Linked DNA regions of Ovis aries. The main gene of each other region encodes a partner of the protein of the gene in region 2 in a complex. Links are inferred from orthologs where the notes say so. Each region holds a gene or a part of one and is shown on either strand. Other genes may lie near its edges.

What was found.
Region 1: the proteins of ITGB7 (region 2) and ITGAE are in contact, whole or in part, in a cryo-EM structure (PDB 8ZJF), measured with the Homo sapiens proteins. The link is inferred for Ovis aries from reciprocal best matches to the Homo sapiens genes ITGB7 and ITGAE. Residues at the interface, in NP_000880.1 of Homo sapiens: Val201, Leu202, Pro203, Ser206, Thr207, Val208, Pro209, Ser210, Lys211, Arg213, His214, Cys216, Pro217, Arg219, Leu220, Glu221, Arg222, Leu255, Asp256, Ser257, Pro258, Thr291, Phe292, His293, Thr294, Ala295, Gly296, Asp297, Lys299, Leu300; in NP_002199.3 of Homo sapiens: Phe36, Leu38, Arg91, His92, Arg93, Gly94, Leu111, Arg113, Leu118, Ser119, Ser120, Leu122, Glu196, Glu198, Arg230, Tyr233, Glu234, Phe237, Glu238, Cys239, Asn240, Ser259, Gln260, Val262, Met263, Leu266, Arg300, Leu401, Gln403, Phe406.
Region 3: the proteins of ITGB7 (region 2) and FLNA are in contact, whole or in part, in a crystal structure (PDB 2BRQ), measured with the Homo sapiens proteins. The link is inferred for Ovis aries from reciprocal best matches to the Homo sapiens genes ITGB7 and FLNA. Residues at the interface, in NP_000880.1 of Homo sapiens: Pro776, Leu777, Tyr778, Lys779, Ser780, Ala781, Ile782, Thr783, Thr784, Thr785, Ile786, Asn787, Pro788; in NP_001104026.1 of Homo sapiens: Thr2263, Gly2267, Ala2268, Gly2269, Gly2270, Leu2271, Ala2272, Ile2273, Ala2274, Val2275, Glu2276, Gly2277, Pro2278, Ser2279, Lys2280, Ala2281, Ile2283, Phe2285, Phe2311.

The regions. Positions count from the first base shown.
Region 1 is NC_056064.1:24,320,625-24,325,035, forward strand, and holds the start of ITGAE (integrin alpha-E), read right to left. Parts: upstream 2,859-4,411; 5' UTR 2,848-2,858; coding exon 2,766-2,847; intron 1-2,765. UniProt on the Homo sapiens protein: Integrin alpha-E/beta-7 is a receptor for E-cadherin. It mediates adhesion of intra-epithelial T-lymphocytes to epithelial cell monolayers.
Region 2 is NC_056056.1:133,285,248-133,287,931, reverse strand, and holds part of ITGB7 (integrin beta-7), read right to left. Parts: coding exon 2,651-2,684; intron 2,400-2,650; coding exon 2,304-2,399; intron 2,136-2,303; coding exon 2,046-2,135; intron 1,034-2,045; coding exon 884-1,033; intron 582-883; coding exon 388-581; intron 58-387; coding exon 1-57. UniProt on the Homo sapiens protein: Integrin ITGA4/ITGB7 (alpha-4/beta-7) (Peyer patches-specific homing receptor LPAM-1) is an adhesion molecule that mediates lymphocyte migration and homing to gut-associated lymphoid tissue (GALT).
Region 3 is NC_056080.1:80,094,791-80,098,437, reverse strand, and holds part of FLNA (filamin-A), read right to left. Parts: intron 2,063-3,647; coding exon 1,815-2,062; intron 1,708-1,814; coding exon 1,612-1,707; intron 1,428-1,611; coding exon 1,325-1,427; intron 1,236-1,324; coding exon 1,095-1,235; intron 989-1,094; coding exon 860-988; intron 680-859; coding exon 506-679; intron 404-505; coding exon 242-403; intron 144-241; coding exon 1-143. UniProt on the Homo sapiens protein: Promotes orthogonal branching of actin filaments and links actin filaments to membrane glycoproteins. Anchors various transmembrane proteins to the actin cytoskeleton and serves as a scaffold for a wide range of cytoplasmic signaling proteins.

The DNA.
Region 1 (4,411 bases), on a different chromosome or scaffold from region 2:
CGGTTCTTTCACTCCCTAAGGGAGATATAACCATTTAAAATATGTATGTCTCCAATAACATTGCTTCAAACTATATAAAGCAAAAATTGACTGAACTAAAAGATTTAACAAGTCTTTCCCAGGTATAAGAGCAGACAAAAAAAAAGGAAAAAACCAAACCCAGTAAGTATCTAGAAGATCTGAACAACACAATTAACAAACTTGATATAACTGACTAACAGATAATATTATAGCCAATAATGGCAAAGTAAACATTTTTTTCAAGTACACATGAAATATCAAAATTGACCATAAATGTGCTGGGTCATAAAATAAACTTCAGTAAGTTTCAACAGATTTACATAATCCAGAGTATGTTCTCTGACTATAGTAGAATTAAACTAGAAATTCAATAACAAAGAGAAAGCAAGAAAAATCTGAACTTCTTGGAAAATAAGCATTGTACTTCTAAAGAATGTAAGGTCAAAAATGGAGACCTTAAAATATTTTTAACTGAATGAGAATTAAGATAGGACAAATCAAAACGTGTGTGATACAGTTAACAAAGTGCTTAGAGGAAACACGGCATTATACGCATATGTTTTTAAAAAAAAAGAAAAACTGAAAACTAATTATCTAATATTCCATCTCAAAAAGCTAAATGAAAAGCAAGTCAAACTCGGAGAGGAATATGGAAGGAATAAAGATATGAGCATATCAGTGAAACAGAAAACTAACCTACATAGAGAAAATCAAAGCTTGGTTTTTAAAAAGAGTGATAAAGCTGATAAACCTCTAGCAACACTGATTAAGGAAGAAAATAAAAAGAGAGAAAGAACATAGAAATTACCAATATGAATGAAAAGACCACATTGGAACAGAGCCTAAGACATTTATGAAATAAGAGGATAGTATACACAACTTGGGGCTTCCCAGGTGGCTGTAATGGTAAAGAACCCAGCTGCCAATGCAGAAGACATAAAAGATGCAAGCTCAGCCCCTGGGTCAGGAAGACCCCCTGGAGGAGGGCATGGCAACACACTCCGGTATGTTTGCCTGGAGAAACCCATGAACAGAGGAAACTGATGGGCTACAGTTCATAGCCCAAATAAAGGCAGCCAAATAAATAAAAAAAATAAAATTGATTAGTTAAAAAAAAAAACCTAGCAAATTATTGTGGAGAGAGGGGAGATGTTAGCAAGCCATTTAAAAATATATATGTGAAAATGCAAAGGGCAATATAATTATGACTGATTCGAGTTCTAGGGCAGAAACCAACACAACACTATAAAGCAATTTTCCTCCAATTAAGAAATAAATTAATTTTTAAACAAGGAAGACAGAGCTGACATTTTTTTAAAAAGGAAGAAAGAAAGAAACACAATGGGAAAGAATAGTCAGGTACTCTTGAAGAAGAAGAATAAAATTTTTGGATTTATCATTTATCAATATTATTATAAATTTACAGTTATTAAAACAGAATTATATTGGCATGCTGCTGCTACTGCTGCTGCTAAGTCACTTCAGTCGTGTCCGACTCTGTGCGACCCCATAGATGGCAGCTCACCAGGCTCCGCTGTCCCTGGGATTCTCCAGGCAAGAACACTGGAGTGGGTTGCCATTTCCTTCTCCAATGCATGAAAGTGAAAAGTGAAAGTGAAGTTGCTCAGTCGTGTCTGACTCTTCAACTCTTCATGATCCCATGGACTGCAGCCTACCAGGCTCCTCCATCCATGGGATTTTCCAGGCAAGAGTACTGGAGTGGGGTGCCAAAGATAGACAGATAGATCAATGGAACAAAGAGTCCAAAACATATGGTCACTTGATTTAGGACAAGGGTGACAGTAAGGTGTCACTTACTCTTTCTCAGTAAGGTGAAAGAATGATCTTTTAAATAAATCGTGCTGGGTCACTTGGATATCAACACTGAAAAAAATTAATCTTGACTTATGTTAGACACAAAAAATCAACTCCTGATGAACTGAAGATTTAAATGTGTGTTTAGATGGACCATATATCTACCTATGAAAAGTGAAAAAGAAAGCTTTTAAGAGAAAACAAAGGACCTTGGGGTAGACAGATACTTTTTAAACAGATCACAAAAAAACACTAGCTATAAAGAAAAGCATTGATAAGCTGAACTTCATTAGGCTTAAGAACTGTTTGTCGGAAGACATCACTAAAAGAGTAGAGAGGCAAGCCACAGAGAGAGAGGAGATGTTTGCAATACAAGCATCTGACAAAAGATTCATGTCAGAATCTGTGAAGAGTTCCTACAAATCAATATGAAAAAGGCATGTAAGCTAACAGAAAGAAGGACGTTTCACAAAAGAGACTATCCAGGTGGCCAGCAATCATATGAGAAGTCATCACTAGGCTTCACAGAAAGGCAAACTGAGATCATGCAATACTGAAAAAATGCAAGATCTTATGGGTCCTTGCCCCCTACCCTGACACCTCTGCCTGCCTTTTGTCTGTGGAAAACTTTGGTCAAAGAATAAGTTTTATCCGAGAAGCGAGAAATGCAGAATCAAGGGGAAACTGTCAAAGGAGACTAACTAATAAGAACATAGTCATTAAGCATAGTCAAGGACCTTTAATTCTTTCTCAAGGGCTATAGGTAATGCTCTGAGCCATGTCCTATGAGCTGTCTTCTAGACACACCAGGCAGAGAAGTTAGCTACACGATGACCAGGCTGTACCCAGGACAATTCCTGCCACAATTCCAAGAACTGGCCACAAAGAAATGAGAACAAACGGACCCCGGAACTGAAGATTAACTGTACCTAAAACAGTGAAGATGATACTGGTTAGACCACTGATGACCAATTTGAAGATGACTATCAGAGCTGACTGCGGTTTCTGCATGTAGCACCCACCCCCAACACCCTGTCCTTCTGTCTATAAAAGCTCCTGCCCCACTGGTTGCCGGGGATGGCGGGGAGGGGATTGGACTTTGGACAGACATCCACCTCCCCCCACCCTCCAGCTGCTGGCTTCTGAAATAAAGCAAACTTTCCTTTCCACCTACTTGGCCTGTTTACTGGCTTTTGAGCGGCGAGCAGCCGGACCTCACACACAGTCTTTCAGTAAAAATACCACTACATAACCACCAGAATGGCTAAACTGAAAAAGATAATACCATGTGTTAACAATAATGTAGAGCCATTAGAATAGTCATATACTGCTGGTGGGGGTGTAAATTTGTGTAACCCCTTTAGAAAACTGTTTGGCTATTATCAACTACAGCTGAATATATGCATAACTCGTGACTCAGCGATTCTAGCCTTAGGCATAAATCCAACAGAAATATGTTCATAAATTCATGAAAAGACATGTACAAGAATGTTCACAGCCTCACTATTCATAATAACCCCAAACTGGAACAACCCACATATCTACCAACAAGCTGCAGTATATTCACCAATGGAATACCCTGCAGAAACAAAAATAATTGGCTACAAAGTGGGTAGATCTATGAACACAATGTCAGAGGAAAACCAGTGGGGACGAAACAGAACATGTATGATTTCATGTAAGTGAAGTTCAAAACAGGCAAACGAATCCATGATATTAGAAGTCAGGAGGATGGTTACCCTTGGGGGTAATGACTGGAGGGTCCACAGGAGGTGTTTATGGATGTTGGTGATGATGTTCTGTTTCTTGAAATGGGTATCAGCATGTGGATTTGATTTAATTTGAAAATGCACTGCTCTGACTTTGTTCGTTTTTGTGCGTGACTTCAAAAAACAGCCTACCTTAAAAATTAATAATCGCAGGGGTGAGAAGGAATAAATTAGGAGTTCGGGATTAATACACTGCTATACTCCAGTATTCCTGCCTGGCAGTTACTCCCATTAACAGAAGAGCCTGGAGGGCTACAGTCCATAGGGTTGCAAAGAGTCAGACACGAATGAAGCACACATACATAAAATAGATAAACAACAAGGATTTATTGTATAGCACAGGGAACTATATATATATTCAGTGTATTGTGATAGCCTATAAAGAAAAAGAACGTATATGTGTAATGTCTTATGGGAAAACCTGAAAGAATTTTTTGGCCAACCCAATATAATGGGATCATTTTGCTGTACACCTAAAATTAACTCAATATTGTAAATCAACTATAGTTCAATTTAAAAAACAATAATAATTGCGAGTGTCTGAAACACACTTAATATGTAAAAATTCCAGGGATTCTTAATGATACTTAAAAGACAGTTGTTGTTCGGTCGCCAAGTTGTTTCCAAGAGGAAACAAAAACAAAAGAAATCAAAACACTACATTGTTCACCATCAGCAGTGAAATGAGGGCATTGTCCCCTAACTCTGAAAGTCGACTGTTAAAGGGAAAGTATTAATCTTCTTGCCTTTCCTGTATGCACTGCATTTCAGGGTCACCAAACAGTCCTAGTTGGCAAGAAAACGTT
Region 2 (2,684 bases):
GAGGATAGCTCAGCCTCTGAACACTCACAGAGTCGACCCAGGCGGCCGGGGACACAGCTGGGAGGGGAAGGGAAGAGAGGGAAAGGAGGGATCAGAGAATTTGACCATGTCTTGACCTGCCTTTCCCCAAACTCTCTAAACCTAAGATCTCAAGATAGCTGGAGAGAGAGCAGAGGCTGAGAGGAGCATGGACTAGAACGGAGTTCTGAGGAGCAGAAGAGCAGGGGGAGCTGGAGTGGAGGGAAGAAGCTTCAGGAGGTGAAAGTCAGGGTGGAGTCTTGGAAGGTCTACGAAAAAGATACCTAGAGACAGTCGCGGGTGGAGGGATGGAGGGTGAGGTGGGAGGAGTACGGGGGAGCCATATGGGTGAGGGAAGTGGGCTCTCACCTGCACACCCCACACTGGAGGTGCCCCTGGCCATCGCTGCAGTGAGGAGCCTGGAGCTGGGCGTCACTGCAGTTACAGTCACACAGTGTGTGCAGCTCCACAGTCAGCTCCTCGGAGAAGCCACGGGCTCGGAACCTCAGCAGATGAGGCTCTGGGAGGCAGCGGGCAGCTTGGAAAGTAACCCAAAACTTCACCTGAGGACAAGGCAGGGGGGATTCATACTAAGATCCTGTGTGCATACACACTCCTGTGCGCGTGCACACACTGCAAACCCATTGGTCATCCAGAACCCTGCCTAGCGAATGAAGGGACAGGGTCATGCCAACACCCATCTCCTAGAACCATTGGAGGAAGCTGCTCATTAAAGTGTCTCAGAAAGGACGGGTGGAGGATACCTCAGGCTTTTTACATTGTTTCCCAGGCCTGTCCCCCCATCCCCTCCTGCCTGCTCAATTCCCCCAACCCCCACCCCACACCCCACACCCTTCCTTCTCACCGTCTGGTTGATTCGGACGTGGTTGCACTGGCCCCGGTCGGCAGCTTCACCCAGTCTCTTCTCAGAATCCCCACACTGAGATTCATAAGAGATGCGGACCCCCGGAGGGAGAAGAGAGTCGTGTTCGAGGGTCACAGTGGATGACAGGCTCTGGGGAAAGAGCGAGAGAGAGTGACCATGTGAAGGCTGGTTACAGCTCAGGCCCTCTCCAGCTGTTCTGCATCCTGCCGGAACCCCGCCCTCAGCCCACCTGGGGGCTCCTTCTGCTCGGCCCAGTCAGGAGGAGTTTGCAGGAAGGACCTGGGATGACCTTGAGCGAGAACACAGGGTCCAGAAGTTTCCAACACGGCATCTCAGTGCCGCTGCGGCAAAGACCTGGTGGGGCTCAGGGGCTAGCCAGCACTGTAAACGTAGTAGCTAGCTTTTTCAAACCTCATGTCTGGACATGTAATCTGTGAGCATACAAGGTCTAAAGAGCAGATTCTTTCAGTTGAGTTTGTCCTGGGAAATTTGATATTGTCTCACATTTTTTCACCATGGGTTTAGAACACAGTCTCTGTTATCAAGAAGCCTGCAGTCGAGTTGCAGAGATAAGACCTAACCCCAAGAAACATGAATTTTTATGGTTCTGTCTACCTGTAAAATTCTATGGTTCCTGTGAAGATTATCTCTGAATTATTGATAAGCTTATAGTGAAGGCAATCTCCAGATATGACATTCTTTATGTATAGACAAGTGCCAGCCCTTGTGTCTGTTATCTGTGTGATCTTGGGCAAGTCACTTAGCCTCCTCCCTGCGTCTGTATCCCCATGGATAAAACTAGAAAAATAGTTTCCAAGCAGGGAGGGGTTTTAGTGGAGTAAAAGAGACATCAAACAGTGTATACTTGGGATGGTGCTTGGCATGAAATAAAAACTCAATCAATATTAATTCCCTTTCTTGCCCAGAGCAGTGCTTCATGCTCTGTACAAATCAGGCATTTAAGATTTATGAATGAGTACAAGACTGAGTGACTGAGCTGTTAATGACGGCCACACACACAGACTATAGGCAGGAGCTGTGGGGTGTGATACCAACAGGTGATTGTCCTCTTGGTTCTGCCATCCTACCTGGGGGTCCCTTTCCATTTTCCCCAGTGCCCCCCACCCACCCAGCCCCTCACATTATAAGCATCCATGATGAGCTGCACCACATTGCTGGAGTCCTCACTCAGCTCCCCTACTGCAGACTTGGGAATCAGCTTACTCAGCTCCTGCGATGGGGGGAGTTGAAGGAAATGGTGGGTCACAACTCTCAGGAAATAAGCTTGCGGATGGAGGGGGGACTCTGGAAGAAGAGCATATCGGGAGGGGAAAATGGGCCTTTGAGGGAGCTGAGAAAGGCTGGGCATGGGAGGGTTTGGCATTCACACAGCTCTTACCCGGTAGACAGGCAGTGTGGCGCTGGTGACAGCAAAGATGGGCTGAATGTTTGCCGCAGAGAGGGCCTGGGCTACTTGACCCACGGAGGGGTAGTCCTGGAGCAAGGAGTAGGGACAAGGTGAGTACCCCAGGCCCCCTCACAGAATGCAGGGGGTGCCCTGAAACTCCAGGGTTCCACCAGCTAGAAGGAGGGGAGGGGCTGGGGAGTGGAGGGACGTGAAGAGGAGGAGCTGCTGGGGAGGATGGCGGGGTGGCCATCGTAAGGACAGTGAGGCTACAGGGAGAGGTTCTGGGAGGAGCAGAGGTGTGGGTCCCACAGGGAGGGTGGGGAACGGTAGTGACTCACAAACTCTGGGCTGCGGCTGTAGAGGCCGTTGCTG
Region 3 (3,647 bases), on a different chromosome or scaffold from region 2:
CTGGCCCGAGACCCGCACACGGCTGGCATCCCCGATCTCTGATTGGCTGATCACCACTGGAATGGGGCTGCTTGCCACATGCTGCCCATTCTTCTTCACGTGCACCAGGTGTTCTCCTGTCTCCTTGGGCACGAACGAGATCCCTAGGCACAGAGCGGGGCTGTCAGCCAGGGAAAGATATGCAACTACCCCCCACCCAGCTTCCCTCCCTCTCGGAAGGCCCTGCAGCCCAGCCTCTTACCCACGTGGCCGTTACGCAGCCGCTTCAGCAGACAGGGTTCTTCCCGGCCTGAGGGGGGCACCACTGTGGCAGTCAGCAGGCTGAGGTCCGTCTCGGAGATGTTGATGGGGATGTCAGCTGCAGAGCCCACCTTCAGGTGGGACATGCGCATGGAGTCGTCACCTGGCAGGGGTCAGTCACTGTGTGTCCAGGCACCGAGAGGGAGACCGCCCCCCCCCCCACCGCCAGCTGCCTCCTTTGTCACCGCTGCAGGCCGTCCCCTACCTGTGACCCTGGCAGTGAAGGGGCTGCCTGGGATGTGCTGTTCGTTGTACTTGACCAGGATGCTGTAGTCACCAGGTAACACGGGCAGGTAGGAGACACTGCACGTCCCATCCTGGTTGTCGGTGCAGCTGATCTCTGCTTTGGAGGGGCCCTCAATGGCCAGGGACAAGCCCCCTGGAGAGAGTTGTGAGTGAGGGTACAAACTGTGCCCGGGGACACTGCACCAACCATGCAAGCAGAGGCTGGGGGTGGGGTAGGGAGCCCTGTTTGGGGAGCATCTCCTGTGTCCAGCCCCCCAACAGATGACGGCATCCTGCCTCAATCAGGCAGGTCACGATGAGAGGGGCTGCTCACCCTCGCCCGCATCCTTGGTGTTGACGGTGAAGATAGCAGGCTTATTCACCACCCCATGTGTGAGGCCCGGCCCATAGGCTGTGACGTGGCCACAGTTGACATAATCCACGTAGAACTGTAGGGGGCTTCCTGTAGCAGGAATAGGGACCACATGGACCAGGGCCTCCCGTCATCCCCAAGTCTGTCCCACAGCCTGCCCCCCCAGGAGGTGGTCTGGCATGCTGAGTGGACGTACCTGGGATGTGCATGTTGTCATAGCGGATGTCCATCTCGTGCAGGCCAGCTTCACTGGGGGCGTAGCGCACAGTCACGGTGCCATCCTTGTTGTCAGTGATGGCGGGCTGTGCCACCTTGCCTGAGGGCATCCGCACCTCCCCTGCAGGGGAAAGGGGGGCCTGAGTCAGGGCAGCCCATGGGCACCCTCCGGCCTCTGTGGCTCCCTAGCCCCTTCCCAGCTGCACTCACCAGTGACCTCGCCCTTCTTGATGGTAAAGGGGATGACAAGGTCAAAGGGCCTCAGGCTGCTCACATCCAGCCCATTGACCCCCACCAGGGGCCTTTCTGGGGCCTGCGGGGGGCGGAGACACAGAAGGCCTGAGTGAGGAGCTGGAGGGAAAGGGAGTCCCGAGTGATAGGCTCCAGGGTCCCTCCCTCGAAGATAGTGGAACAGGGCCTCACGGGACACCCAGCTGGTCCATCCCCAAGTGTCCCCGAGGGCGGGGGGGGCTTGGAGGCGGCAGGGCAAGCCATACCCAGGTCTGCTGGCCCCCCTGGGCGTAGGTATATGGTGGTGCCAGCTGCTGAGGCCGTAATGGTGGCTGTGCCGTGGGCTGGTCTCCAGCCAGAGCCTGCAGAGCAAGGCACAGAGCTCGAGGCTGTCCAAACCCGCGAGCCCCGTGGGGGCGGCGAGCCAGGTCCCTGCCCAGACCCCCACCCAGCCCCAGTCCCTCCTGACCGTCACTTGGAAGGGACTGTTGGGCACATGTTCACCACCGAAGCGCACGCAGATGACGTATTTGCCGGGCTGGGGAGCCGTGTAGAAAATGTCAAAGGTGCCATCCTCATTCTCAACCACGTCCACGTCCACCTCAGAGCCGTCGGGCGTGCACACAGTGCAGGTGACCTTGCCTTTGCCCGCCGCCTTGGTGTCCACGGTGATCACGGTCTCCTCCCCTATCTGGATGGTGGGGCCGATGCCAGCACCTGGTGGGGCAGGGTGGGTCCCCGAAGGGGGGGCCGGGGCATGAGCTTGGTGCTCAGGCCGTGGCCATTCACGTGTCAGCCGCCCAGGCCTCTTACTGCCAACCACCAAGCACAGCCAGGCCTCCCGCCCCCCAAGCTGGGATGGTGAGTGATTTCTCAGAAGGCAGGAAAGGTTCCCCTGAACCACCTCAAGCCCGGGAGTCCTGTCTCGGGGGGTATCCCTGTCATGTGGGAAAAGCCCAATGGTTGGCATCCAAGAGTCTGAGAAGAAGAAGGGCCTGGAAAGCCCCGAGGCCACTGCCAGGGCCTAAGCATTTGCTGCCATCTCCCCTGCCAACTTGGCCTCAGCCAGTGGTGCCCTGGACCATTCTGACTGACAGCTGAGCCTCGGGCTGCCTTCACCCCTGTGGCCATGCCCTGGCCCCCAGTGCCGTGTGCGGACGCAGTGAGGCAGAGTCCTGCTGCAGCGTGGGGCATGTGACACTTGTTCCCCACCCCTGGGGCCTGAAGTTGCAATCGGAGTTTCCTGACAACTGAGAAGGCTCGCTCGACCGGAGACTTGCAGAGAAGGGGCAGCCGGGCATGGCTTGGTGCAGGCAGGGAACCGGGAGCAGGGAAGCAGGAAGGCAGCGGGGTTAGCACCCAGGCAGTGCAGCGCAGCAGGGGGGCCAGTACCCATAGGGCAGGGAGGCAGGGGGCCCAAGCCAGAGCCACGGCTGCGAGGCGGTGAGAGCAGAGGGGAGGGACAGTGACGTTATGATCTGGGCTCAGCCATGGAGGCTCGGGGGGCTGGGGACCGTGAGGCCTGGCAGCGAGTGCTTTCTGGAGCCTGGCCCCTGCCAGGGAAGCAGCTGGCAACACCGAACCCACCCCAGGGCCAAATTCAAGGGGGTCCCCAGCCGGCCACTTGGCCAGCCCCTGAACTGTACTGTCCACTGAGGGTGCCCACTTTGCGGGGCTCCAGAACACTACGCCTGGACCCCCACCGCCCACCCCCAACTGGGAGGCCTCACCTCATACACAGCCACACCTGCTCTCCCTGGCTCGGAACCTGGACCCACCATCTAGTAAGTGGCCTGGGCCCAAACCTCAGTTGACCCCAACTGCCCGTGCTCCCTGCCCAGCACCCAGCTCTTCATCAGGTCTGGGCTGCTCCATCCTTGAAGCCCCCCACCCCTTGAGGTTCTCCCCTCAAGCCCCACCCACCCACCAGCAGCCTAGCCCAAGCCAGCCCTGCAACTGATACCGAAGTGACTTCGGTTCCCCAACTGGGCTCTTTGCCTCCGCTGGCACATGGCGGCCAAGGTAAACCAAGACCGCTCTCTCGGCCCCAGTCTTGACCCTGCCCCTGGTCCCCAAGGTCCTATCCCCTGGCCCAGGGACACGGGCCTGTCATCTCAGACCCCAAGGCCCCCTGGACGGAGTCATCAAACCCCTGCCATCCTCTAGCTTTCTCCAGGGCCACCTTGGCCAAGGTCCAGGCCTCCAGCCTCCAGAGGCTCCCATGTGCTTGTGGCCTCTTGCTGGCATCCCTGGCTGGGGCGGGCCTCCCCTCCCAGGTCTGGTTGGGGACCATCTGAATAAC